7 linked regions of the Macaca mulatta genome follow. The protein of the gene in region 4 binds, or shares a complex with, the protein of the main gene of each other region. Links are inferred from orthologs where the notes say so. Each region holds a gene or a part of one and is shown on either strand. Other genes may lie near its edges. The genes, in order: TAF5, TAF9, GTF2B, TAF7, TAF11, TBP and GTF2H3.

The links.
Region 1: TAF7 (region 4) and TAF5 share a complex: the UniProt entries of both Homo sapiens proteins name them as parts of the TFIID basal transcription factor complex. The link is inferred for Macaca mulatta from reciprocal best matches to the Homo sapiens genes TAF7 and TAF5.
Region 2: TAF7 (region 4) and TAF9 share a complex: the UniProt entries of both Homo sapiens proteins name them as parts of the TFIID basal transcription factor complex. The link is inferred for Macaca mulatta from reciprocal best matches to the Homo sapiens genes TAF7 and TAF9.
Region 3: TAF7 (region 4) and GTF2B share a complex: the UniProt entries of both Homo sapiens proteins name them as parts of the TFIID-containing RNA polymerase II pre-initiation complex. The link is inferred for Macaca mulatta from reciprocal best matches to the Homo sapiens genes TAF7 and GTF2B.
Region 5: TAF7 (region 4) and TAF11 share a complex: the UniProt entries of both Homo sapiens proteins name them as parts of the TFIID basal transcription factor complex. The link is inferred for Macaca mulatta from reciprocal best matches to the Homo sapiens genes TAF7 and TAF11.
Region 6: TAF7 (region 4) and TBP share a complex: the UniProt entries of both Homo sapiens proteins name them as parts of the TFIID-containing RNA polymerase II pre-initiation complex. The link is inferred for Macaca mulatta from reciprocal best matches to the Homo sapiens genes TAF7 and TBP.
Region 7: TAF7 (region 4) and GTF2H3 share a complex: the UniProt entries of both Homo sapiens proteins name them as parts of the TFIID-containing RNA polymerase II pre-initiation complex. The link is inferred for Macaca mulatta from reciprocal best matches to the Homo sapiens genes TAF7 and GTF2H3.

The regions. Positions count from the first base shown.
Region 1 is NC_133414.1:115,518,789-115,522,288, reverse strand, and holds part of TAF5 (transcription initiation factor TFIID subunit 5), read right to left. Parts: intron 293-3,500; coding exon 55-292; intron 1-54. UniProt on the Homo sapiens protein: The TFIID basal transcription factor complex plays a major role in the initiation of RNA polymerase II (Pol II)-dependent transcription.
Region 2 is NC_133411.1:77,439,702-77,443,558, forward strand, and holds TAF9 (transcription initiation factor TFIID subunit 9), read right to left. Parts: upstream 2,614-3,857; 5' UTR 2,613-2,613; coding exon of another isoform or gene 2,520-2,612; intron 1,472-2,519; 5' UTR 1,455-1,471; coding exon 660-1,454; 3' UTR 501-659; downstream 1-500. Other genes in the region: AK6 (adenylate kinase isoenzyme 6), read right to left, coding at 2,520-2,612. UniProt on the Homo sapiens protein: The TFIID basal transcription factor complex plays a major role in the initiation of RNA polymerase II (Pol II)-dependent transcription.
Region 3 is NC_133406.1:151,712,191-151,716,153, reverse strand, and holds the start of GTF2B (transcription initiation factor IIB), read right to left. Parts: upstream 2,801-3,963; 5' UTR 2,750-2,800; coding exon 2,733-2,749; intron 1-2,732. UniProt on the Homo sapiens protein: General transcription factor that plays a role in transcription initiation by RNA polymerase II (Pol II). Involved in the pre-initiation complex (PIC) formation and Pol II recruitment at promoter DNA.
Region 4 is NC_133411.1:150,152,934-150,156,936, reverse strand, and holds TAF7 (transcription initiation factor TFIID subunit 7), read left to right. Parts: upstream 1-1,211; 5' UTR 1,212-1,943; coding exon 1,944-2,993; 3' UTR 2,994-3,503; downstream 3,504-4,003. UniProt on the Homo sapiens protein: The TFIID basal transcription factor complex plays a major role in the initiation of RNA polymerase II (Pol II)-dependent transcription.
Region 5 is NC_133409.1:147,388,174-147,392,246, forward strand, and holds the start of TAF11 (transcription initiation factor TFIID subunit 11), read left to right. Parts: upstream 1-1,273; 5' UTR 1,274-1,307; coding exon 1,308-1,478; intron 1,479-4,073. UniProt on the Homo sapiens protein: The TFIID basal transcription factor complex plays a major role in the initiation of RNA polymerase II (Pol II)-dependent transcription.
Region 6 is NC_133409.1:1,494,713-1,498,661, forward strand, and holds the start of TBP (TATA-box-binding protein), read right to left. Parts: upstream 2,801-3,949; 5' UTR 2,706-2,800; intron 464-2,705; 5' UTR 441-463; intron 310-440; exon of another isoform or gene 307-309; 5' UTR 159-306; coding exon 105-158; intron 1-104. Other genes in the region: PSMB1 (proteasome subunit beta type-1), read left to right, coding at 3,898-3,949. UniProt on the Homo sapiens protein: The TFIID basal transcription factor complex plays a major role in the initiation of RNA polymerase II (Pol II)-dependent transcription.
Region 7 is NC_133416.1:131,085,397-131,088,534, reverse strand, and holds the end of GTF2H3 (general transcription factor IIH subunit 3), read right to left. Parts: intron 3,012-3,138; coding exon 2,943-3,011; intron 2,728-2,942; coding exon 2,592-2,727; intron 2,474-2,591; coding exon 2,437-2,473; intron 2,354-2,436; coding exon 2,284-2,353; 3' UTR 501-2,283; downstream 1-500. UniProt on the Homo sapiens protein: Component of the general transcription and DNA repair factor IIH (TFIIH) core complex, which is involved in general and transcription-coupled nucleotide excision repair (NER) of damaged DNA and, when complexed to CAK, in RNA transcription by RNA polymerase II.

The sequences.
Region 1 (3,500 bases), on a different chromosome or scaffold from region 4:
TATGCACGTGCACACACACTATGTGTGTATATATATATGTAAAAATGTACATACTTCTCAAAGAATGACTTTGCTTCATTCTCATGTTGATTGTAGACTAGCTCCAAGTACATGTGCACAAACAAAGGATAAAAGAGTTGGGATAACTCTGCCCGATGGCAGTCCAGGGAACATTCAATGAAGTGTTTCAGTCCACTATAGTATTCTTCATACATTGTGGGATCTCCTTGTTGGCTGTAGGCCGACAACACAGCACTGACATCTGGCTGGTCTTCCACAGCAACACTTCCAACTGTTTAAAAAACAAAAAACAACTTTTAAGAAAATGACCTATTATGACCATGTGACTATGGCTGTTTTGTTAAGGCCCAGAGGTGAGTTGTTGCTCAGATTGTTGTCTCTTTCTTCCCAACGTCTCTTCCTCAACACAATCACATAATCTTTTTTTTTTTTTTTTTTCTGAGAGGGAGTCTCGCTCTGTCACCAGGATGGAGTGCAGTATGGAGATCTCAGCTCACTGCAACCTCCGCCTCGCAGGTGAGTCTCTTGCCTCAGCCTCCCAAGTAGCTGGAACTACAGGCATGCGCCATGCCCAGCTAATTTTTGCATTTTTAGTAGAGACAGGGTTTCACCATGTTTGCCAGGATGGTCTCGATCTCTTGACCTTGTGATCCTCCCACCTCGGCCTCCCAAAGTGCTGGAATTACAGGCATGAGGCACCGCACCTGGCCCACACAGTCTTTTTTTTTTTCTTTCTTTTTGAGATGGAGTTTCAACTCTTGTCGTCCAGGCTGTAATGCAATGGCACGATCTTGGCTCACTGCAACCTCCGCATCTCGGGTTCAAGCAATTCTCCTGCCTCAGCCTCCTGAGTAATCCTACCCAATACAACTCCCTACTGCTCTCAGGGTAAACAAAGATCTTCAACATGGCCCAAGAACCAGCCTATTCTTTTTTTCAATGCCTTCACTTTAACAATAGAACCTGCCTACTGTTCCAGTCCCTAACTAATTCCCAGGGCATGGTGGTGCATGCCTGGGATTACGGGCATGCACCACTATGCCCCCTAATTTTTGTATTTTTAGTAGAGGGGGGGTTTCACCATGTTGGCCAGGCTGGTCTTGAACTCCTGACCAGAGGTGATCCACTCGCCTCCCAAAGTGCTGGGATTACAAGTATGAGCCGCCGGGCACAGTGGCTCATGCCTGTAATCCCAGCATTTTGGGAGGCCGAGGCAGGCAGATCACGAGGTCAGGAGATCGAGGCCATCCCGGCTAACACGGTGAAACCCCATCTCTACTAAAAATACAAAAAATTAGCCGGGCATGGTAGTGGGTGCCTGTAGTCCCAGCTACTCGGGAGGCTGAGGCAGGCGAGTGGCGTGAACCCGGGAGGCGGAGGTTGCAGTGAGCCAAGATCACGCCACTGCACGCCAGCCTGGGCAACAGAGCGAGACTCCGAGACTCCATCTCAAAAAAAAAAAAAACCAAGTATGAGCCACCGCGCCCAGCCATAATCTTTTAATGGAATTTTTTTCACTTGTTTCAGTCACCCAAACCGAAACCTGTCAGCACATCCATATCTTAAGATAACAATAACAGGCCATCACGGTGGCCCAGCATTTTGTGAGACTGAGGCAGGCGGATCACAAGCTCAGAAGTTCAAGACCAGCCTGGCCAACATGGTGAAACCCTATCTCTACTAAAAATACAAAAATTAGCTGGGTGTGATGGCGCGTGCCTGTAATCCCAGCTACTCGGGAGGCTAAGGCACAAGAATCACTTGAACCCAGGAGGCAGAGGTTGCAGTGAGCCAAGATCGCGCCACTGCACTCCAGCCTGGTGACAGAGCAAGACTCCGTCTCAAAAACAAAAAAAAACAATAAGAAGAAGAGTCAATATTCCTCCTGGAACTACCTTATGTTAAAGACAAATTGTATAAAAGATGGTATGTGCAAATCAAACAACTACATTAACTTTCTCTCAACGCTCTGTTCAAATGGCACCCATTACCACCAAGCCATGCACTGCAGTAACATTCCCAGTTCTCTGAGCCACCCAAGCACTGTGTAACATTCCTGTAACATATCCCATCCTGTGTTCCCTTCACATTATATACATCTCTTACCCCTTATAAAATGTAACCACTTAAGGGTGGGAAGGACCATGCCCTATTTATATCTTCAAAAGATAGTTATATGCGGCCGGGAGCGGTGGCTCAAGCCTGTAATCCCAGCACTTTGGGAGGCCGAGACGGGCGGATCACGAGGTCAGGAGATCGAGACCATCCTGGCTGACACAGTGAAACCCCGTCTCTACTAAAAAATACAAAAAAACTAGCCGGGCGAGGTGGCGGGCGCCTGTAGTCCCAGCTACTTGGGAGGCTGAGGCAGGAGAATGGCGTGAACCCGGGAGGCGGAGCTTGCAGTGAGCCAAGATCACGCCACTGCACTCCAGCCTGGGCGGCAGAGCGAGACTCTGTCTCAAAAAAAAAAAAAAAAAAAAAAGATAGTTATATGCTTAAAACAATTTCCATAACCAGCATTTCAAAACAGAAAACATAACTATTTATTTGTAACACAGCACCACCTAACAATACATCTGTCAATTAAATCAGAATTTGGTTGTTGGAAATATTTGTAAGTTGCCATTATAGTACACTTCGCTCTTTACTGCACAAATGTGATAATTTCTTCGGTTACTCTGATGGCCTCTTTTCCTCCTTACTGATTTCTCAGTTATGATCTATAATTAGGTCAAGTTTCTGAAGAGATAAGAGATTACAGCAAAATAACCAACAATATAATTCATCTTATAGTTCATTCACAAAATTCAACATTAAAAAAAGATTCCTCTCAAACACTTTTTTTTTTTTTTTTTTGTAAAGACGGAATTTTGCTCTGTTGCCCAGGCCGGAGCGCAATGGCGCTATCTTGGCTCACTGCAACTTCTGCCTCCTGGGTTAAAGTGGTTCGCCTGCCTCAGCCTCCCGAGCAGCTGGGACAACGGCACATGCCACCACGCCCAGCTAATTTTTTTGTATTTTTAGTAGAGACGGGGTTTCACCATGTTGGCCAGGCTGGTCTTGAACTCCTGACCTCAAGTGATCCACCTGCCTTGGCCTCCCAAAGTGCTGGGACTACAGGCGTGAGCCACCGTGCCCGGCCTTCAATCCACATCTGCACACATTTCTATTTATGGATTAAAATGAGATATGAATACAATGCTATGTATTCATACTTCATTTCTGGCAATGCTGCAAAGATTAGGCCTCATACAGATTAATTTGGCTAAAAGCTCTGCACTGGATAATTCAATAAACATTTATTGTCAGCTCAGGATCACCTCTGAGACCTTATATTGTATATGAGTTTTACTGCATGGATTTGTGGCAACAGTTGCTGTGAGAAAGCAGTGGCTCAGGTGTCAGGAACACATACAGAGGCATAAACTTATCCATACCAAACATTTTACATATACATATTACAAGTGCCTCACGTG
Region 2 (3,857 bases), about 73 Mb from region 4:
ATCAGGAATATGAAAAACAAAGATGCTCAAAATTAACCTGCAAAAAGAGACACTGATAAATTTTTTTTAAAAAAGTGGAGACATACTGGGAGACACTAAGGGTCCTTAATATAACCAAAGGGACAGAAAAATGGGACCTAGGAAGTTGGACAATTGAGGAAGATAATCAAAGCAGGTTAAGAATTCACTATGAATAAAAATCCTGACCAACTAGTCTCTCCAAAGAGGAGTCATGGTTATACTTCAGCAACTGAGAGAACAGATCACAAGAGTGACATACACCAGAGATCATACTGTGATCTATATATCTGAAGACACTTGAGGTGACATTCTAGTGGTCAACAATAGACTACAGTACTGCAAGTTGCTGCAACTGTCAACTGTTACTCCCCTTGGTGACAACAGGGAGAAAATTGCTTTTAAAAACATAACTGCCAAAGCACCAACAATCAAAGTAATGAATGACAACTTTATTTTTCTTACACTTTTAAGGCTGATGAAAAACCTTCATTTCAATTGAAAAGTATGGTAACTGTATTTACTCATTAATTATTATTAAAGTTTTCTAAAACACAACTTGAAAACATCCAGCATGCATGTTTAATATCAGTACAATGAATTCAAGACCAAGTATACATGTTACATGCAGCAAAGCTAGATTACAAATTATCATAGTCATCATCATCATCATCGTCATCATCATCATCTTCACGTTTTCTTTTCAATGCATTTGATGATTCATTGGCAGCATTTTGTGATGACACCATATTAGTGGTAATAAGAATGTTTTTGGACCCAATTAATGATGGATTAATCAGAACATTCTGAACTGCTGAGGTTGCAGGAATTGAAGCTTTTACAGCTGGAGACTGCGAAGTAGGCATCTGTACTGTAAACCTTTGACCTGTGAGGGACATGGGAGTCCCTACTTTAGTTGAAACAGACATGGTCTGTGGGGTTGGTGTGCCTAGTGTGGGAGTACTTGGTCTGCTAGTAACTGAACCAACACTTAACCGCGGGACTGTTATTCTTCCCGCAGAAGTTGATGCCTTTTTCTGTAAAGATTTCAGCCTATAGTTTGGAGCTGTTAAGCAGTATCTATCAGGTGGCAACCTAGGACCTGAATATGGCTTGATCAGTGGCAAAGGGGTTTGATTTCTTTGCCTTGCGATATCTAATAAAAAATCTCTTGGGGGAGGAGAGGTAAAAGACTGGTCAGCGCGGCACTGGATTGCCAATCGCACATCATCTGCATCAACGGTAGCTTTCTTAGCATGGCTTGAATAAATTTTTGCATCATCTAGAATTGTGGTCACATATCGGAAGGCAAACTCCAACATCTGATTTATAACTCTTGGCTCATATTCTGTAATCCCCATATCCTTCAGGATTTGTGCCATCATCTGTGCATCTTTCGGCATGCTCTTGGGAGAAGCCATCTTGCCAGACTCCATGATATCCGATGATCAGACTTTAGATCATTTGAAAAAAATATGTACATTAGATCAATCTGAAATAGTTACTTTAGTAGCAACTGTCAGGAACTTAAAAAATTTTTTAATCTATGTTAAACTGTAAAAAAATTTTTTAAATTTAAACCATATGTTTTCTTAATTTTAATGAGGCATACTTAAAATCCCTTTAATTTATTGAGTTCCTACCATGTACAAATCATTGTCAACTATAAAAAGATGAAGACACAAATAAGGGAGTGATAAAAGATTAGGGGAAAACAGGGTAAAATAAATAAAAACATCTATCATCTTAGAATATATGCAGTTGCATGCAAACCTCACACTAAGATACCATAGCATAGTCATGTCCTACACCTGAGCTCAAAACAATCTCTTTCCAGTGAGACCAATACACTCACTGTGCTCATATATATGTTCAGCAGTACCAAACCTTTGTTTGCTCAACTTGAAAACACTCTCCTTATTCACATTCTACCTCTCCGAAATCCAGTCTCTTCATAGGAGCCTTCCCAACTATTCACAAGAATTGCTAGCCATTTTCAAGGAGGAAGGGAAAATGCTCAAAATAACCAGGACATAGCATTAGACACTTAATATTTCTGTGGATTCCCTAAAAGACTATATATATATATATATATTTTTTTTTTTTTTTTTTTGAGACGGAGTCTCGCTCTGTCACCCAGGCTGGAGTGCAGTGGCGCCATCTCGGCTCACTGCAAGCTCCGCCTCCCGGGTTTACGCCATTCTCCTGCCTCAGCCTCCCGAGTAGCTGGGACTACAGGCGCCCGCCACCTCGCCCGGCTAATTTTTTTGTATTTTTAGTAGAGACGGGGTTTCATTGTGTTAGCCAGGATGGTCTCGATCTCCTGACCTCGTGATCCGCCCGTCTCAGCCTCCCAAAGTGCTGGGATTACAGGCAAGAGTATATATTCTTTAATGGCAATCTGTTTTTTGTACCTTCTGACAATACCCAGCACTAACACTCCACTATCAGACTTAAAACAAAACAAAACAAAACAAATCTAACACCAAAGTGTCCCTTACCTTCTCGAGCTAAATCACCAACATTAATGTATTTCAGTCCCGATTTTGACGCAAGTTCTTTGCCTAGTGTAGTTTTTCCAACCCCTGGTGTACCTGTAAGACAAGCCACAGAAAAATACTGTTTGTGAAATACTACTTATCACACTGCAGCCCACCTTGTGCCCTTCCTTTTTTTATTTCTGAGGCAGAGTCTCACCTGGCCTCTGCCCTTAAAGATCTTGACGACTGAAATGAAAAATTTCTAATTAGCAATAACATGTAAAAAAAATTTTTTTTTTGAGACGGAATTTCGCTCTTGTCACCCAGGCTGGAGTGCAGTGGCGCGATCTTGGCTCACTGCAATCTCCACCTCCCAGGATCAAGCGAGTCTCCTGCCTCAGTCTCCTGAGTAGCTGGAATTACAGGTGCCTACCACCATGCCCAGCTAATTTTTGTATTTTTAGTAGAGACAGGGTTTCACCATATTGGCCAGGCTGGTCTCAAACTCCTAATCTCATGTCATCTGCCCGCCTAGGCCTCCTAAAGTGCTGGGATTACAGGCGTGAGCCACCATGCCTGGCCATATGTAAATCAGCATGTACTACGATCTAATAAAAATTTTCCAAAGCTAATTGAATGTCAGAATATTACTCAGTGTATTGATTCTCCAGGGGTGGGGCTCAGCAAATTCTGACGCCAATTCAAACTGCCTGCTGCTACCATGGAACTACTCAGAATAAAATTAGCCACCTCGTGCTGGGCGCAGTGGCTCATGCCTGTAATCACTGCACTTTGGGAGGCCGAGGCGGGAAGATCATGAGGTCAGGAGATCGAGACCATCCTGGCCGACATAGTGAAACTCCATCTCTATGAAAATACAAAAATTAGCCAGGCGTGGTGGCACATGCCAGTAATCCCGGCTACTCAGGAGGCTGAGGCAGAAGAATCCCTTGAACCGGGTGGTTGGAGGATGCAGTGAGCCAAGGACGCGCCACAGCACTCCAGCGTGGTGACAGAGACTCCGTCTCCAAAAAAAAAAAAAAAAAATTAGCCACCTCGAATCAATTACAATAATTTATTTACCTTTTTCTTCTTTTTATTTATTTTTTATTTTTTTTTTGAGACGGAGTCTGGCTCTGTCGCCCAGGCTGGAGTGCGGTGGCCGGATCTCAGCTCACTGCAAGCTCCGCCTCCCGGGTTTACGCCATTCTCCTGCCTCAGCCTCCCGAGTAGCTGGGACTACAGGCGCCGCCACCTCGCCCGGCTAGTTTTTTGTATTTTTTAGTAGAGACGGGGTTTCACCGTGTTAGCCAGGATGGCCTCGATCTCCTGACCTCGTGATCCGCCCGCCTTGGCCTC
Region 3 (3,963 bases), on a different chromosome or scaffold from region 4:
GAAACATCTGAAAGATATGAAGAGTGAGGAGTAAGGTAGAAAATCTATACAAAGCTGAAAAGTATAAACTAGCCATACACTGTAACATGGATGAACCTCAAAATACTGACAGAAGCTAGACAGCAGAATACATATGCCATTTATGCCAACTTCAAAGCAGGCAAAACAAATTGATGGTGTTAGAAATCAGGATGCGGTTTTCTCAAGGGAGGGGGAATGACTGAGGACAGAGACTTTGCTAGTGTCTTAGCTAGTGCTAGTGGTATCTGATTTCCTTACCTGGGTAGTAGCCATGTATGTGCTCACTTTGTGACTGAGCTGCCCACTTTTAAAATCTGCGTGCTAATGTCATTAAAAAAAGGTAAAAGCAAGGTAGTGAATGGAGTTTAAATCAGGTCACTTTTGGGGAGAAGAGAGGTTAGAACTATTTGTATACACTTGTTAAATCATAAGCACGAGGAAAACACCAAAAGACTAGTAACTATGGCTGATCTGGGGAGACTTGAGAGCCTACTTTTCATGGTTTTAGTCTATTGTAATTTTGCTTTTGGACCATTTGTATGTGTTACCTATCAAAATAAAAGTATGCTAAATTAGTAAACTTTTAACCAAATTACCCACAATACAAAAGAGGAACCATACAAATGGGGTGGCGCAGGTGGTAACAGAGAGAAACAATGGGGAGGAATAGGGAAACCACCACCACTGACATTAAAACATCTAAAGTACCAGATAATCCCAAACCCCATTTTAGAGCTATCATTTATTGGGTATGCACTGTATTGCTGGTGTTACACATTCATTATTGTCAATCTCCACAGCAATCCTGCAAGAAAGGCCTATTTCCCATTTTAAAAGATTATGCTCACAGAATGATTTGCCTGAAGTCATGGAACTAGTAAGTGGCGAAGCTTACATTTGAACTCAAAATATTTGTATTCTTCTGTGAGGTCACCAGCCAGTTTCACGGCCTAGCAACAATACATCTTCCTGAGGGAAAAACATGCAAAAGATAGAAATAATATATTTAGGCTGGGCATAGTGGCTCATACCTGTTACCACAGCACTTTGGCAGGCCAAAGTCGGAGGACTGTTTGGGCCCAGGAGTTCGGGCCCAGCCTGGGCAATGTAACTAGGCCTTGTCTCTACAAAAATAAAAAGTAATAAAATTAAAAAATAAAAAAATTAGCCAGGCACACTAAAAAAATTAGTGTGCACCTATGGTCCCAGCTACTCAGGAGGCTGAGGTGGGAGGATCACCTGAACTGGGGAGGTCATGGCTGCAGTGAGCCATGATTGTGCCACTTGCACTTCAGCCCAGGCCTGTTCCAAAAAATAAAAAATTCTACATTTAACTTTGTCACTGATAGAAAAACTTGAGCAATAACTGCCATGATACATAAATTGCACATATCTAGAAAAAAATTCAGACTTAAAAAGCCATGACAGAATTTAAGTCATATTTGAGTGATTTGGGAAGCCAAAGTTTTCTATTTACCTACAAGGAGGCCTCACCTGACAGACCACCACCCAGACAGAATGAGCATCCAATCCAAGAATCAGAATCAGTAAACAAGAGTGTCACTGGCTTTATAAGTTCTGTTCAAACAGTACATTAGCTAAAGCGCATCCCACCCCAAATTCTTTTCTTCTAACCATAAAATGTAAGTCTTGGCAGTTACCAGAAAAGGCTATTTTGTAAAAATGGCTTTCACTGTGAAATTAACCAATTTCACAGCTGATAGGGTCAGAAAAATGGTGCCAGAGTTCCAGAACCTGTAGAATTAATTTGATACTTTTAACACAGCATTAGTTAACCAAAGGCCAGGTGTGGATAACAAGAAACAGGTTATCTTAGACTCTACACTCTAACACTATCCTTGGTAAAGTCAACATTGGCATGACTCAGTTTACACTTACGCAAAAATACTAATATCTACCTCATAGTGGTAATGAGAGATATAATTAGGGTCTGCAAGCATTTTTCAGGTCACAAGATTAAAGGCTGTCTCTGAGGGTACTGCATGCATTTCCTGTAGATATGAGTACATTGCATTTTTAAATATATACTGAAGAGCAACCTCCCAGCACACATAACTAAATTTCTTATGCAAGATTTTCTTCAGAAGGACACAGGCAACGATATTTGTAAACAAATCCTTTAGCATGGAACTAATCAACTCTTCCGATGGCTCTAACTTCCACTTTCGAGGCCCGCTGTGATGGTAACCTGGTTCCATCTGGCTTACCAATGCTGACGTTCCCAACTTCCTAGCTGTCAGATCGATAGGGACCCGGAACCAACTATTTCCCGTTCCTTTGAAAAGGAGAAATTACGGACCTCGGGTTGTTTGGGCCGTAGACGAAAACAACAAGCTGGGGGAGGGGCGGAGGTAGAAGGAGAAGAAAATAAAGGGAGGTTGAAATATTCAGAAAAGACGAGGACAAGGGCTAGGGACACAGAAGCCCACCAGGACCCACAAAGGGTGATGTCTACATGAGAAGACGACATAAGACTCCGAAGCAATAACGTCAACAGCTGGGTAACCCCTCCGACACCCTGACAGTCCTGCCGTCTGGAAGTGCCTTTGTCCCGGCCGGTCGGCCAGTCCCGCCGCTTCTCTCCCATACCCCTCGGTGCTTAGTCCGACTAGGCTGCCCGGAGGCCGCCTGAAAGCCCGCGGCGCTCGCGCCCGCCCCTCAGCTCGCCGGGCTGGGCCGGACATACTAACCGGCTGGTAGACGCCATCTTCAGGGCCACTGCGGTGCCCGCAACAAGCCACAACAGATCCGCCGAAAACAGGAAACGAGTGTGGCGAAGAGACGCGCAGAGATGAGTTTTTATAGACGACTCACCCACGCAGTCGTAACAGAGCGGGGCTACGGGTCGGGAGAAGGGCCAAGAACAGTGAGATCCCATACGTCACGCGCTTTGAGATTTCTTACGTTTTTATTCCGTTTCTGTAATTTGCTATGTTGCTAAGCGAGTCAACGTAACTGCCTAGGAAGAGTCTCATGGGAACCCTGCAAAGGGGCTACAACAGAGCTACTCTCAATCTGACAGAGTTAAAACACGAAGAAAACCCTGGCTTCGTAGTGGTGCCAAAGCCTGCATCCCTAAAAGTCTAACCACCCCTTCCTCTCCCACCTTCTCACCGCCACCCCCCGGCCCCAGTACCCCACCCGGCTTCAGGCACTCCCATTTGAGCCGGTTCTTACGTGCCCCAAGGGTGATTCTTTCTAAGGAATTCAAAATAAAAAGAGAAATTCACTTAGGTCATCCAGAACAGGTGTCTCTTCAGGCTCTGTCATCAACTAGCATGTTATCTTCTTAGGCACGTCGTTTTGATACAGGGTATGTAGGTTTATATAGGTTATAGTATCTTGCCTTGCATACCCTTTTAGAATTGGCAGGAGATGAAACAAAATTACGTGAGACCAATGTGTGCATGAGAGGCACGACGATATGGGTCATACTCTGATCATTTTTTTTTTTCATGGCCTTTGCAAATTTGGCTGATAGCTACGTATAGAAAACTTGGCAGAACATCTAGATAATGCAAAATATCCCTAGATTAGCCAAATTAACGTCAAAATAGTAATACCACTACTACTAACAACAATAACACTGGTGGAGGGTGTTCAGGTTCTTGACGTTTTGAACAAAGAACTGGACAAAACGCACAAAGCAAGGAACGAATGAAGCAACAAAGGCAGATTGAAAACGAAAGTACACGCCACAGAGCGGCAGCGACCAGGGCAGAGGAGCTCAAGACTACCTTTACAGAATTTTCTGGGGTTTAAATATCCTCTAGAGGTTTCCCATCGGTTACTTGGTGTACACCCTATGTAAATGAAGTAGTGACTCCACAATCAGTCTGATTGGTTGTGAAAAGCAACCAATCAGAGGCTAAAGAGAAGTTACAAAGTTACACTCCTATGCAAATGTCTGATTGGTTGCTT
Region 4 (4,003 bases):
CAGATATTTTAAAAATAAATGGAAATAAATAGAAATAAGTACCAACTGTTACCCAGTTATGTCAAAATACTAAAAATATGTGTTGATGAATACCTGACCCTCCAAAGAAAAGACAAGCACAAAACAGCAAAATAGTAGAGGTGGAGTTAAAAAAAAAGTCAAAGTATTTAAAATTACTTGTACATGAGAAGCAGGAAACAATACTTCAATTATGTCTACTTTAACCAGATGCTCAGTCTATCAGACAATTCTGTCCAAAATGAACCTGTGCTTGCAGAAGAACACTTCCTTCTCTGCTTACATTTACATCTAAATCAAGCATATAAAAAGGAATCACCCTTGTTTCCTCAGGAGTATTACAGAACAGAAGGAAACCCAGAGGCACAATTCCCCTACAGGGAATTATATTAAACAAAATATAGACTTTGGGCCAGGCACGGTGGCTCACACCTATAATCCCAGTACTTTGGGAGGCCAAGACAGGCAAATCACCTCAGGTCAGGAGTTGGAGACCAGCCTGGCCAACATGGTGAAACCCCTTCTCTACTAAAAATACCAAACTTAGCTGGGGTAGTGGAAGGTGCCTGTAATCCCAGCTACTCAAGAGGCTGAGGCAGGAGAATCGCTTGAACCCTGGAGGTGCAGATTGCAGTGAGCCAATATTGTGCCACTACACTCAAGCCTGGGTGACAGCCTAGACTCCATTTCCAAAACAAACAAACAAACAAACAAAGAGAGGTTTAGAATTATATAGTGAGCTCCATGTCCTCCTCACTCCACTGATTTGGGTTCTTTAAAATCCATTGTATAGTAGCTACACATTCTTGTATTGGCACCAGATTGGCTAGACCCTAGGAAGCATCCGAGATGTTTCCAGAAGCAAAGACGCTTACTGCCAGGCGTCCCCCATCTCCCGGAATCACCCGGAAGTCTAGAAGCCATCCGGCCCCACAGCGATCCCTTAAAAGTGCTGGCTTAGCGGGGGACGAATCCGTGTCTTTCTTGTAACTTCCAAGCGCTAAATAGTTTGAAACCAACAGCTCTTCGAAAACACTATCATTTTCATCCCAGAAAAGCAAGTTCTCGCGAAAAGACGAGTTTCACGCTGGGCAGCGTAATTGCGCTATTGCGCCTGCGCGCGCCGGGGCTCCGCCCTTCCGGCCGGAGGGGCTGTCACTCACATCCACCTCCCGCCCCGCGTCGTGACGTAGCACTTCCGTTTTCTCTGGGCAAGCGGTCGAACGGAGGGCCGGCGAGGTGCCGGGTCTGGTTCTCCGAGCTGCGCCTCTCGGCAAGATTTCGCGTTGCCCATCCTGGGCTTTCATCAGTAATCGATAGTGGATCACTCTGCCAAGCGGCAGGAAGAATTAAGGAAACGACAAGGAGACGCTTGGCTGCCTCCCGCTTTGCTCCTTGCGGCCTCCTCTTCCCTTCGCTCCGGCCCGGTGAAACTGAACTTATAATCGTCACTGGATTGTAAGTACCCGAGGCGAAGAGAGCTCACTGAGCCCTGATGTTTTGAGTGTCTGTTCCGGGAGAGTTTGTAAATTGAGAGTATCTCTGCTGGCCTTTCTGGGCCGAAAACCGTTCCGCGGGAGCCGCCATTTGCTTTCCTGCTTCTTAGCTAGGTAGCTGTCTCCGCGTTGTCGGGCAGCGGCACCTAGAGGTTGGGACTTGGCATTGCATCTGATTTAATGAACTTAAGTCTGTGAATAAGCCTTTGTGTTAACGACTGGTATTTGGTCACAGCATATTTAGAGAAAAGACTTGGAGCTTAAATAAAAACGAAGGCAAAATAGACGCTAAGCTGCTGATCTACAGAGAACTTCTTGTAATTAAAATATTTCAATTCATAGCGAACTGGTGTTTTAAACTATTGCAGTAGCTGGAACTTTTTACGGTAACCATCATTTATTGGAGAAGTGAGTCACAAAGAAATAAAAATGAGTAAAAGCAAAGATGATGCTCCTCACGAACTGGAGAGCCAGTTTATCTTACGTCTGCCTCCAGAATATGCCTCTACTGTGAGAAGAGCAGTACAGTCTGGTCATGTCAACCTCAAGGACAGACTGACAATTGAGTTACATCCTGATGGGCGTCATGGAATCGTCAGAGTGGACCGTGTTCCATTGGCCTCAAAATTGGTAGACCTGCCCTGTGTTATGGAAAGCTTGAAAACCATTGATAAGAAAACCTTTTACAAGACAGCTGATATCTGTCAGATGCTTGTATCCACAGTTGATGGTGATCTCTATCCACCTGTGGAGGAGCCAGTTGCTAGCACTGATCCTAAAGCAAGCAAGAAAAAGGATAAGGACAAAGAGAAAAAGTTTATCTGGAACCACGGAATTACTCTGCCTCTGAAGAATGTCAGGAAGAGAAGGTTCCGGAAGACAGCAAAGAAGAAATATATTGAATCTCCAGATGTGGAAAAAGAAGTGAAACGATTGCTGAGTACAGATGCTGAAGCTGTTAGTACTCGGTGGGAAATAATTGCTGAAGATGAAACAAAGGAGGCAGAAAATCAAGGCCTGGATATCTCTTCTCCAGGAATGTCTGGTCACAGGCAGGGCCATGACTCATTAGAACATGATGAGCTTCGGGAGATATTCAATGACCTCAGCAGCAGCAGTGAGGATGAAGATGAGACCCAGCATCAAGATGAAGAAGATATAAACATCATTGACACTGAGGAAGATCTGGAGAGACAACTACAGGACAAGCTAAATGAATCAGATGAACAGCACCAGGAAAATGAGGGAACCAATCAGCTGGTTATGGGAATTCAGAAGCAGATTGACAACATGAAAGGCAAGCTCCAAGAGACCCAGGACAGGGCAAAACGACAAGAGGATCTCATCATGAAAGTGGAAAATCTGGCTCTCAAGAACAGATTTCAGGCTGTACTGGATGAGCTCAAACAAAAGGAAGACCGAGAAAAGGAGCAACTCAGCTCTTTGCAAGAAGAGCTAGAATCACTCCTAGAGAAGTAAAAAGAACTGATTCTTAATTTCAGTGTTCAGACTGATCAGCATTAGAAAATTCTTGGCTTTATTACTTGTACTGGATATTAACACCTTGCACTTCCTAGTCCCTCTAATGCTGTGTGTTCTGTTAAGTTCTTTCATTTGTTTATAGTTTTGTTTTTCAGCAAATTTACATTGTTTTGCTAGGTGTTCATCCTATAAGAAGCAGGATTGTATAGGCAGAAAAATGATAGTAGGAAAGTTGCAGGATTAGTGGAATGTATGGTTCAACCTTAATTATAGCTCCACTGCAGGACTTTGCTGTTTCTCCATTTTCTAGAAGCTGCTGTTGCTGCCTTATGATGACATGAGATCAATAAGAAGAACCTAGTCTAGAGACAGTGATGCTAGTTTGCATATGTTTTCCCATGCAATAGCTGTTTTCCCAGTTACTCAAAGCAGTTTCCCATATGTAGAGATGCAAATTTTATTAAGTTGTTTACAATACAATAAATAAAAGCATCTGTTTTTCACTTTGTAGTGTATCTTGTTCTTTCATGGTTGGTGGGAGTCAGGTCCCTTTTGAGGTGGTTTCGTGGTGGAGTTTAGTGACTAAGAAATTTGATCCAGTTCTGCAGGTAGAGGCAGTTTGGTTTATGAAAAAAAGCAACACAGCAGGGGTAAAGAAATTGGGAATTGTCATGTTTGCATCATATTAAGATTCCAGTTCTATCTGATCTACTTGAAAGCTGGGAAACATTAGATACAGAGCTTTCTTAAACTACCCTAATTTTTGTAGATGAAGGCCTTTGTGCCTTTTTTAAAAAGCTTACTAAATCTACCTGCACAAAATGTTGGAAACAAAGCAGTGGTTATCAAGTGCAGTCCAATGAATCATTCCATTGGTTTGGATTAAGATTTTATTTCTATTTTTCTTCAGTTGAGTTCTTATAATTAATAATCTGAGAACTGAGGTCATTTATCAATGTCATTTCATCAAAATTGCTCATAAAGTAAGTCGGTACCAAATTTCTCAT
Region 5 (4,073 bases), on a different chromosome or scaffold from region 4:
CGTCACTTCCGGGATCCGGCGTCACGCGTCACCGCGCCCCCGCGCCCCGCCCCCTAGCTCACCTAGCTGGGCGGGGCTCCGCGGACCAGCGCAGGTGGATTTTGCTGTGCCGAGACAGGCCTCACGGGTTATGGGGACAGCGCCTTGTGGGTCCCCATTATATAGGTGGAAAGGGACAAACAGGCCCACCTGTACGCGCCTCCCGAAGTGCGCTCCTTCCCTAAACGTTTTGGGAGCTCCTGGGACAGGAAATACGGCAATTCGTCCAGGCAGCGCAGAAACAAAGAGATAAATATGGTAACGCGCACCTACATTTCCAAGGACATTCTTTAAGCACGCATAAATTAAATATGTAATAGGTGCTGGGACCTAGTCATACCCAGGTGAATAAAACGCCCTCCCCCTCGTATCTCTATGAGGGAAGAGAAGAAAATTTTAAAATAGAAATATCCTCACCACTTCATCCTCCCAGTACATGAACTAGTTCGTTAAAGTGAAACGTTCGAAGGAGACACCTTCCTCTCTTTAGGCTTTCCTCTTAGTTTTGGTAAGATTAACCAAAATGATAGAAAAGTGTCAGACTTGTAGAAACAAACCTCAATCTTGAATACTTGCGAACTGAAAAAAAATCATTTAATTGGATAGAAACTATGTGTGTTTTGTTCCCTGGTACTAGCACTGTTTCTAAATCGAAGTACGCAGTCAATAGTTGTGGATGAATAAATGAATTGGATAAATTCTGCTCAAGCTAGATGACTTTTTGTTGTTAAGGTGCTTGCTGAATGGAGCGGAAATGCTAGCAATTCCACGTACACACAGACCCGCGGTTTCGGGCCAGTTGAAATACACAAGGTTGAGTCTTGCCTGAAAGTTTACCAATCCCGGGTAGCCTCATTCCACGACACCGCCATACAACGGAACTGAGTTTTCTCCCGATCCCCCAACTTTACTCTGAGGGGTTAACGAAGGGATTAACTGGTATTGAATTTTTAGACAGGCGAAAAGGAAAAAGTTATTTAGTAAACAAAACTGCGCTCCTTCACAAGTGCTGGTTTCCTAGCTAGGAGGATCCATAGTCTGAGCTCTTTACGTCCAATTTTCCCGCTTCCCACTGTCGCCAAACCAAAGTTAAAATGAGTCCTCTAGTCCTCTACGCGCGCCTCAAAATGACCCCTCAGGAGAGCGGTAGGGGTGATGTCATCGCTGCGCGACGACAGGAAGTAAGATACTGTCCTGTGCAGCTCGGGGTTCCGAGCTTCTGCCTCAGACATCGCCGCGATCTCCTCTCCCCTCCAATCCTATCCGTGATGGACGATGCCCGCGAGTCGCCCTCCGACAAAGGTGGAGAGACAGGGGAGTCGGATGAGACGGCCGCTGCGTCCGGGGACCCGGGGGCTACCGACACGGATGGAATCCCAGAGGAAACTGACGGAGACGCAGATGCGGACTTGAAAGAAGCTGCAGCGGAGGAAGGCGAGGTAGGAAGAGATGTATCGATGAGGCTGAAGGAATACCCAGAGATCGTGTTACTGGGTGCTTGCCGGGCTTCTGGTTAGTCCCTCCCAAGTTACGAGAACTCGAACTCACCAGAACTCCCTCCAGATCGTTAATCTTGAGGGGGAAGAGAGCGGACGACCAAACAGAACTCCAGTGCTGGTTCCGTTCCAGAGGCTCAAGCACTGCGTTAATATTTTTAGTCTTGTCAAGGGATTAAAGCTACTTCTAAGGGAGTTTTAATAGCCTATTGGCTTTAGTGGTGAGGAAACTGGGATCCAGTGTCACACTGAGACGCAGTGCAAGAGCTAAAACCCAGGATTCGTAGCACCCCTTTCACCGCAATATGGTTCGTCTTAGATGTTAAGACAACTTTGTTTCTTTATAGGAAGGAGGGTCGATCAAACCTGTCAAAGGGAGATAGACTTTTATAAAAGTGTCGCCCGGGCTGTAGTACAATGGCGCGATCTCTGGCTCACTGCAACCTCCGCCTCCCGGGTTCACGCGATTCTCTTGCTTCAGCCTCCCAAGTAGCTGGGATTACAGGCTCACACCACCATGCCCGGCTATTTTTTGTATTTTTATTAGAGACGGGGTTTTACCATGTTGGCCAGGCTGGTCTCGAACCCCTGACCTCGTGATCCGTCCGCCTCGGCCTCCCAAAGTGCTGGGATTACAGGCGTGAGCCACAGCACCCGGTGATCAGGGACCCATCAGTTGGGTCTGGTGTTTTTATGCTACAGAGAGTTCAGCAGTGTTGCCTAGCTGAACATTGGTCAGGACCAGAAACTCATCGTTCTCTGGATTACATTTCTGGAAGTAGAATCTTGGGGTCTTAGAGCTAGAAGGGATTTAAGAGATCGTGGGGTGAACAGTAGATTAGATGGAAATAGCCTTTCAGTGTATAAAGTTGCATAAAAATGTATAAAGTAAGAACTTTTAGAAAAAGAGAAAATTTGGCCGGGTGCAGTGGCTCACGCCTGTAATCTTTGGGAGGCGGAGGTGGGTGGATCGCCTGAGGTCAGGAGATCCCCAATATGGGGAAACCCTGTCTCTACTAAAAATACAAAAATTAGCTGGGCATGGTGGCAGGCGCCTGTAATCCCGGCTACTTAGGAGGCTGAGGCACAAGAATCGCTTGAACCTGGGAGGCAGAGGTTGCAGTGAGCCGAGATCGCACCACTGCACACCAGCTTGGGTGCCAGAGTGAAACTCCGTCTCGAAAAAAAGAAAAAGAGAACATTTGACAAAAGTATTTTAAGGCAGGTTTCTTTTTTTGTTTTTGTTTTTGTTTTTGAGACTGAGTACTCGCTCTGTCACCCAGGCTGGAATGTGCAGTGGCGCGATCTCGGCTCACTGCAAGCTCCTTTAAGGCAGTTTTTGTTGGTTTGTTGAGACAAGGTCTCACTCTGTCACCCAGCCTGGAGTGCAGTGGCACAGTCTCTGCCTCCTGGGCTCAAGCAACCCTCTTATCTCAGCGTCCGCAGTAACTGGGATTGCAAGCATACTGCACCACGCTCAGCTGAAGTTTTTGTATTGTTTTGTTTTGTTTTGTTTCGTTTTTGAGACGGAGTCTCGTTCTGTTGCCCAGGCTGGAGTGCAATGGCGCAATCTCGGCCTACTGCAACCTCCGCCTCCCAGGCTCAAGTGATTCTCCTGCCTCAGCCTCCCCAGTAACTGGGATTACAGGCACGTGCCACTGTGCCCAGCTAATTTTTGTATTTTTAGTAGAGCCAAGGTTTCACCAAGTTGCCCAGGCTGGTCTTGAACTCCTGACCTCATGATCCATCTGCCTCAGCCTCCCAAAGTTCTGGGATTATAGGCATGAGCCACCGCACCTGGCCAGCTAAAGGTTTTTTAAATATTGTTTTGGTAGAGACAAGGTCTCATTATATTGCCCAGTCTGGTCTCCAACTCACTGGGCTGAAGTAATCCTTCCGCCTCAGCCTCCCAAAGTGCTAAGATTACAGGTGGGAGCCACCATGCCTGGCCAAGAAGGAAACTTTAAAACAGGTGTCAAGGACAGCAAGGATTTGAATAATTAGCTTGGTACACTAGAGAGCTCACTACATATATAAATTTGCACCGAACAGAGGATAAAATTATGTTGTTTCTGAAACACTTTTAAAAATCAATCATGTACTAGACCATGAAGAAAAATATGAATTCTTAAAAGATATCATAACAGGCCACATCTTGTTAATGCAATGCATTAAACTTGAAATTAACTACAAAAAGCTTCTCCCCCACCAAAAAAGAACCCCCTGGAAATTTTAAACTACTTTTTAAATAGCCTTTAGACTAAAGAAATTAACAGAACACTTTATCAAATGATATGGGATTTGGCCAAAGCTTTATTTAAAGAAAAATGTATAGCCTTACATATTTTTATTAACAACCAGAAGATACTGCAAATAAGCACCTGACTCAAGAGACCAGATAAAGGGCCTAGTGGAGTGGGTCACACCTACAGACCTAGCTACCTGGCAGGCTGACACAGGAGGATCGCTTGAGGCTGCAGTGAGCTATGATCCAGCCTGGGCAACAGAGTGAGTCTGGGGAAAAAACAAACAAACAAA
Region 6 (3,949 bases), on a different chromosome or scaffold from region 4:
TCATTTTCAAAAACAGATCATTAAATGCCCTTCCTTGCCTTTTGATACCATCTCTTGCCGTTCAGATTTCCGCCCTCCCTATTCTCTCCCTCCTGCTGTATTACCTGAGGGGAGGCCAAGCCCTGAGCGTAAGGTGGCAGGCTGTTGTTCTGATCCATGATGTTCACTTTCTTCTTGGCAAACCAGAAACCCTTGGGCTGGAACTCGTCTCACCATTCAGTTTTTTCCTAGAGCATCTCAGGCACACTCTTCTCAGCAACTTCCTCAATTCCTTGGGTTATCTTCAGACACCAAGAAACAGTGATGCTGCTTTGGAAAAAAGTCTGAAGTTTAATTTAAGGATCCAGGTAACCTATACAGTCCTATAAGCCAGTTCCATGGCTATACAAAACACAAACATGAAAACCAATGAAGCTATTCTGGAGTACATTTGTTTTTACCTTATAATCCCAAAGTCTTATTCCTTCCAGGTTTCCGGTGATTGCATGTAAAATCGCCAACAAAACAAAAATCATTTTGTTACACGTTTAAATACTCAGATAATGCTCAAAATTAAGCTGTCATAACCAGCATTAAAAACTTTTGAGGAAAAACACCTACAGAAAACTAATTCCAAAAGAAACTGTAATATCAGAGTAGGATATTTATTAAGCACTGTATACACAGCACTGTTAGGCAAAGTTCAGATCTTTAAATATCCCAATTTTACATCCTCTACAATGTCTTGGGCAAAAAATTAAGTAACTATTAAATTCAATCCAATATACTTCAGAGTGATCATTTATCAAGCTCCTACTGTAATGAAACTATAAAAAAAAAGCTGCACAAAGATAAAGCTCTGAATTTTTATAAACGTAATAACCTTACCTCTTTAGAACACAATAGTGCAAACTGTGCGTTTTATCTGACTATTCTTAAATCGTCATCACTTTACTCACTATACATCTGAAATGAGTTTATAATAACATATTCTCACATGGAACTTAGAGGTCTCAAAGTTACAAATTATATGTCCAAAGACCCTTCAGGCATATGCACTTCAAGCATGTGCTGGTACAAAGTAGACACTCACATATTTGCTGAATATATGAAAGACTCTGACGATCACTTTGAAAGGGCAAAGGCCCCCAAAAACTATCTATGCTATATACTCATCACTGAAAAACAGACCAAAAAAGAAAGCAAGCTGTGCTTCTGGAAATAAATGTATCAAAGACATTTTTTAAATTATGCTTTTTTTTTTTTTTTGACAGTTATCCTATAATAACAAAAGTGCTGCAGATGAGGATATAAAGATAGGAAGATGTAGTCCCTGGCATCAAAGTGTTCAATATGAAGGGTATGCAAATAATTACTGTAAAACATAGTATTATAGTAGCAGGTATGGCCTAAGCTAAGTCTTGAAAGTCTACATGTCTTTGTGATCTCTGCATCTAGCACTATGCCTGGAATGCAGTATGTGATCATGAATGAGCCCATATACACCCCTGGAAGAGAAGACAATAAAGACTAACAGCCAATTACTATGAAGAGAGGGCAGTGTTTTCACAAAGCAGGGACCATCTAACTTGGGTCTCACAAGGTGAGTAGGAATTTACAAAACAGGGCTTCAGACAAAAGAGAAATCAAGCAGAAAGAGATAACAGATTGAAAAAAGATGCAGAATGCAGGCGACAAGCTTAGTATGACTGTATAGAAGGTCACTGCAGATGAAATAGCACATATTGGTGGGCTCATACTATCAGGAGTTTTAAATGTTACTGCATAGGCAATAATAACAGTTATGGAATTTTGGAAGTGCAGTATGAATAGATCTAATTTGGCAAGACTAGACGAATTTGAGAGGAGTAAAACTAGAGGCTGGAAGTTCCGCTTCAGGGATCTAAGGGTGAGGCAAGAGATAATGACGGCAGGATTTAAACCCATTGTAAGTAGGACTAGAGATTTATTTATCCAGGACCTGCGGTGGCTTCAGGCCACTTTTTGCAAGTAAGTCTACAGAAGAAACCGTACGGTGATTACTGCACTAATTTATCTCAGAAAAGAGTTGTTTGCTGGGTATCTTCAGCTCTTGGAAATTGAAACATCAAATCCGGTATTTTTTGGAGGCAATCAAATTAATTCTGCATAGCCTTCTAGTGTCTGTATAACTAAATGAAGCACAGTCTTTTCACAGAAAAGCCTACCTAGAGATTTGGAAAACCATGATGGCCTGACCGAGAGATGGGAGGCCCCGTAAATAAATGGTGTGTATTATATCTTAAGCGCTACCGTGCCCGCTGTCTCAGGATTCTGACAAAATACTTAAGTCTCAATGTTGGTAGCAAAACAGGCGGGCACAGACCAGGGTGAATCTGCCTTCTAACATGGAGAAGAAGCGGTGGCAGGACAGGGCAGGGTAAACTTCAGGTCTTCGATGCAAGGGACTGTCCTGTCCCGCCCGCCGCCGCCCCGTCAGTAGTACCCTGCGCCCCACAATCGTACGATGGGAAGCCGCTGGCGACACACAGCAGAGTAGGGCACCAGGCGGGAGCGGCGGCCGAGCGGCCGTTACAGGCCGGAACGGCGGCAGCACGAGAGGGAGGAACGTCCCCCGCGGGGCCTGCACGCGCGCCAATTCCTCTTCTCTTCCCCACCATTGTCCCCAGGCCTCAATGCAGTGGTCGCCTCCGCCCGAACCCTCAGAAAAGAGTACAAGCTGTTACCTGGGTCACTGCAAAGATGACCATGGGCCAGAGGAAACGAAGTTTCACAGCCGGCGGCCCAGGCGCCCGCCACAGCGAACCTGCCTGACCTCACTGAACTCCTGGCGCGCGTTGATAATGTCACTTCCGCCAGCTCTGCCCTCGGCTTCAGCGAGTTGCTCCCACTAGGGCCGAGGCCCTGGGAAGTGTGGGCATAGGTCACTTCCTGTGTTTCCATAGGCGCGGAGCTTAAGGTAAGGAGGGGCGAAGCTCTTGAGGAGTTCCGGGGCGGGGCCGCCGTGCCACAGCCGTCTCTAATTGGCCCTTGCTGGACATAGGACAGATCGATTTTTAAATGGTTATATGTGTGTGTGTTTTGTTGTTGTGGTGGTGGTTTAAAGCAACTAGCGGTGTTACCTTTGGCAAGTTACCTGACCTCTCCCCCGCAGTTTCTTCTGTAAAATTGAATAGTGATAATAGTGCTTACCGTTGGGCTGTCGGGAGATTGACAGAGACTGACAGTACTTGGCACTCAGTAAGCGCGTGCTCCTTACCTGTGCAAGAACGCTAGCTGATCTTCAAGGGTGTAGAATGACAAGGAACACTAAGCAAAACAAACGGCTTGTGTTTACACACGCATTTATATTCAGTTCTGCCACTCCCGTTTCATGCACTGTGGTCACAAGGCTCTATCCGCAGTTGTTTCTTAGTGGGACTAGAACTTAGTGGGAACTGATTTTCCCTTCTGTAGTTCATTGTGGCGTAGTCACATGTTATACTGCTCGTTTTCTTTGTACTCTTTATTATCAGTGAGGTTGTGAGCTCTTTAAGGATAGGAAATGTTATATACATTTTTTATTAGCCAGGACAATTAACGCGCTCACCGTTATTCGAGTTGGCGTTGCGCCATAGTTCTGCCAATGTTTTTGTATGGTCAGACTTAAATTTTCGTCCATTGGGGTGAATTCCAATGTTTTCTTCGACGGGGGGCGGGAAACCTTTACTTTTCTGTCAGCTTTTTTGGAATGGGCGGGACCCAACTACCAAAGGGACAGGCCGCCCTGCAGCCCTCCAGGAGCAACGACTAGCGCAAGATAGAGAGGCCGGGAGCGAACTTCAGGAGAAGCCGGAAGTGGCGTAACGTCCGGTCAAGGCAGCCATCTCGCCGTGAGACAGCAGGTGTCGGAGCTGGAGCTGCAGGCGCAGCCGTGCGATGTTGTCCTCCGTAGCCATGTATTCGGCTCCTGGCAGAGACTTGGGGATGG
Region 7 (3,138 bases), on a different chromosome or scaffold from region 4:
TTGTCAGTACACATTTTTTTTTTTTTTTTTGAGACAGAGTTTCGTTCTTGTCGCCCAGGATAGAGTGCAATGGCGTGATCTTGATCTTGGTTCACTGCAACCTCTGCCTCCTGGGTTCAAGGGATTCTCCTGCCTCAGCCTCCCGAGTAGCTGGGATTGCACGCACCTGCCACCACACCCAGCTAATTTTTGTATTTTTAGTAGAGACAGGGTTTCACCATGTTGGGCAGGATGGTCTCAAACTCCTGACTTCAGGTGATCCGCCCGCCTTGGCCTCTCAAAGTGCTGGGATTACAGGCGTGAGCCAAGGCGCCTGGCTGTAAGTACACTTTTTTGTTTGTTTCTTTTGAGATGGAGTCTCCCTCTGTCGCCCAGGCTGGAGTGCAGTAGCTCGATCTCGGCTCACTGCAACCTCTGCCTCCAAGGTTCAAGCGATTCTCCTGCCTCAGCCTCCTGAGTAGCTGGGATTTGTACAGGCACGTGTCACCACGCCCGGCTAATTTTTGTATTTTTAGTAGAGAAGGGGTTTCATCATGTTAGTCAGGCTGGTTTTTTTCTTTTTTTTTTGGTTGAGACGGAGTCTCCTTCTGTCGCCCAGGCTGGAGTGCAGTGGCACAATCTCAGATCTCTGCAAGCTCCACCTCCCGGGTTCACGCCATTCTCCTGCCTCAGCCTCCAAGTAGCTGGGACTACAGGCGCCCGCCACCACGCCCAGCTGATTTTTTTTTGTATTTTTAGTAGAGACGGGGTTTCACCGTGTTAGCCAGGATGGTCTCAATCTCCTGACCTCCTGATCCGCCCACCTCGGCCTCCTAGCTGGGATTACAGGCGTGAGCCACGGTGCCCAGCCTTTCTTTTTTGATACAAAGTCTCGCTCTGTCACCCAGGCTGGAGTGCAGAGGCACTATCTTGGCTCACTGCAACCTCTGCCTCGCGGGTTCAAGCAATTCTCCTGCCTCAGCCTCCCGAGTAGCTGGAACTACAGGTGGCTGCTACCTTGCCTGGCTAATTTTTGTATTTTTAGTAGAGACAGAGGTTCACCATACTGGCCAGGCTGGTCTCGAACACCTGACCTTGTGATCTGCCCGCCTTGGCCTCCCAAAGTGCTAGGATTACAGGGGTGAGCTACCATGCCCGGCCTTGTCAGTAAACATTTAAAAAAAAACAAAATAACTCAGCCACCATTCCTTAAAGTCTTTGTACAAATATGTGCTAGAAACTAAAAGGACTTTTAATAATTTCAAGATTACATAGAAAAATACACTTTTTGTTGTTGAAATTACAAATAGTTTTGCTTTTGAACTTATAAACATTTTCGGGATTCAGTCCAAAGTTTCTAGAGAACAGTTTCTATAAATATACTTAAACTTTTCGTAGAGATGGGGTCTTCTCACTTGGTTGCCCAGGCTGCTCTCGAACTCCTGGGCTCAAGCAATCCTCTGGCCTCAGCCTCCCAAAGTGCTGGGATTACAGGTGCAGTTTCAATATTAATGTGGATTTTTCCCCCATTAAAAAAGGAAAGAATTCTATCTGAAAACCATACTTAGCAGAGTCCATTTTCCCCAGTAAGTTCTCCCTCAAAACCAGTCATAAGCTTTCACATATAAGCTCTTCCCACAACTATTTTGAAGAAAATTTGCTACTTCACATGTTCTCCTTACTCATTTAAAATGAGATTTTGTAGTTATTTGGTGACAAACTATTGTTTAGACGACTTTGTCCAAATATGTACTGATATCAGACAAAAAGTAAATATCTGCAAATATCTGAGGCTATCTCAATTTAAACAACAAGAATTTTATTTACATGACGATCACAGGTAACTGTTGATTCAAATAAGACGTTCTGTGTTGATTAATGCCATTACTCTACAAATAGTCCTTTTACAAAGCTACGTTCAAATTTCCCATGCCATGCATTTCACAACGAGGACCTGGATTCAGGTAGTAGGTTAGAAAGCCTATGATCAATCATGACAAGCTGACTTTGACTAACAGTCATCCCGTTAAAAAAAAGAAAGCCACAAACATGTGCTTTCTTGCCCCTTTCTGGACAGCAACCAGTCACAGAATATTTTAGGATATATTGCATAGAATGGCTCCCTCAAACAAATCAGTCCTCCGGAAGCACAGGATAAAAAGAATGTTTGGGAAATATTTTCTGTAAGGTCACTACATTAAAAATTATCCTATATCTATCTTTATTTTTTTTAGTCTTCCCAACAAAGAATCTGCTATGTAATTTCTATTAACAGCTCTAAAAGATGGAGAAAGTATTTTATCCTCAGGCAGACACTTTCAGTTTCTTTTTCTTGGCTTTCAGTACTGGAGGCAGAGAAATCTTAAAGGCTGTCCTGAAATTACAGAGAGGAAAACATTTTTCAATATTCTAGAGCTGTGAAGTATCAGCCACCCACACAATCTCAAAGATACTTACTCGCACGTAGTGCAAATGGGGCTGAAATTGCAGAATACTGTAAATTAAAAAAAAAAAAAGAAACAATGGGGTGGCTGAAAAAACAATGCAGTTGAGAAACTGTTTTCCTGCCCCCAAACATAGAAAAAAAAGAAAAACTAGGTACATGAACTTACTTGACAAACACACAGAACAGACATAACCAATTTCAATGAGATTTCGATGACAGAAGCAAGCAGCCCTGTAGTCAACATGAACTGGGGGTGGGAGGATTAACTGAGATCTCTGATCTTGATCGGGAAGAAACACCCACTGTAAAACAAACAAACAAACAAAAGAAACTTTTATTTAAAAAATGGGAAAAAAATAACGTGAAGCCCCACCCTTCTAGGCCTTGGAACCCCAACGCCTGCATTTATTGCTTTCTCCCGAGTACTAGCACCAGCCATCCTGCTTCCATTCCTTTCCCAGGACACAGAGGTCATCCTTCCCTACAGGCATCAGGGTCACCACTGCTGTCTCCTTACCAGCAAATACTGCAGAAGGGAGGGCATCTGAGGCACCTTCAGGTACAGTCCTCCCGTGATGTCACAAGCCTGCAAGACACAGAGGGCTTGCTGCCAAACTCACACTTACCTAGGGTTTCCAGAGGAATGGGATTCTCACCAGCAATGCCTCAGGTCTACAAAATCAGAGGAGGATATGACACCGCAAATTATTATT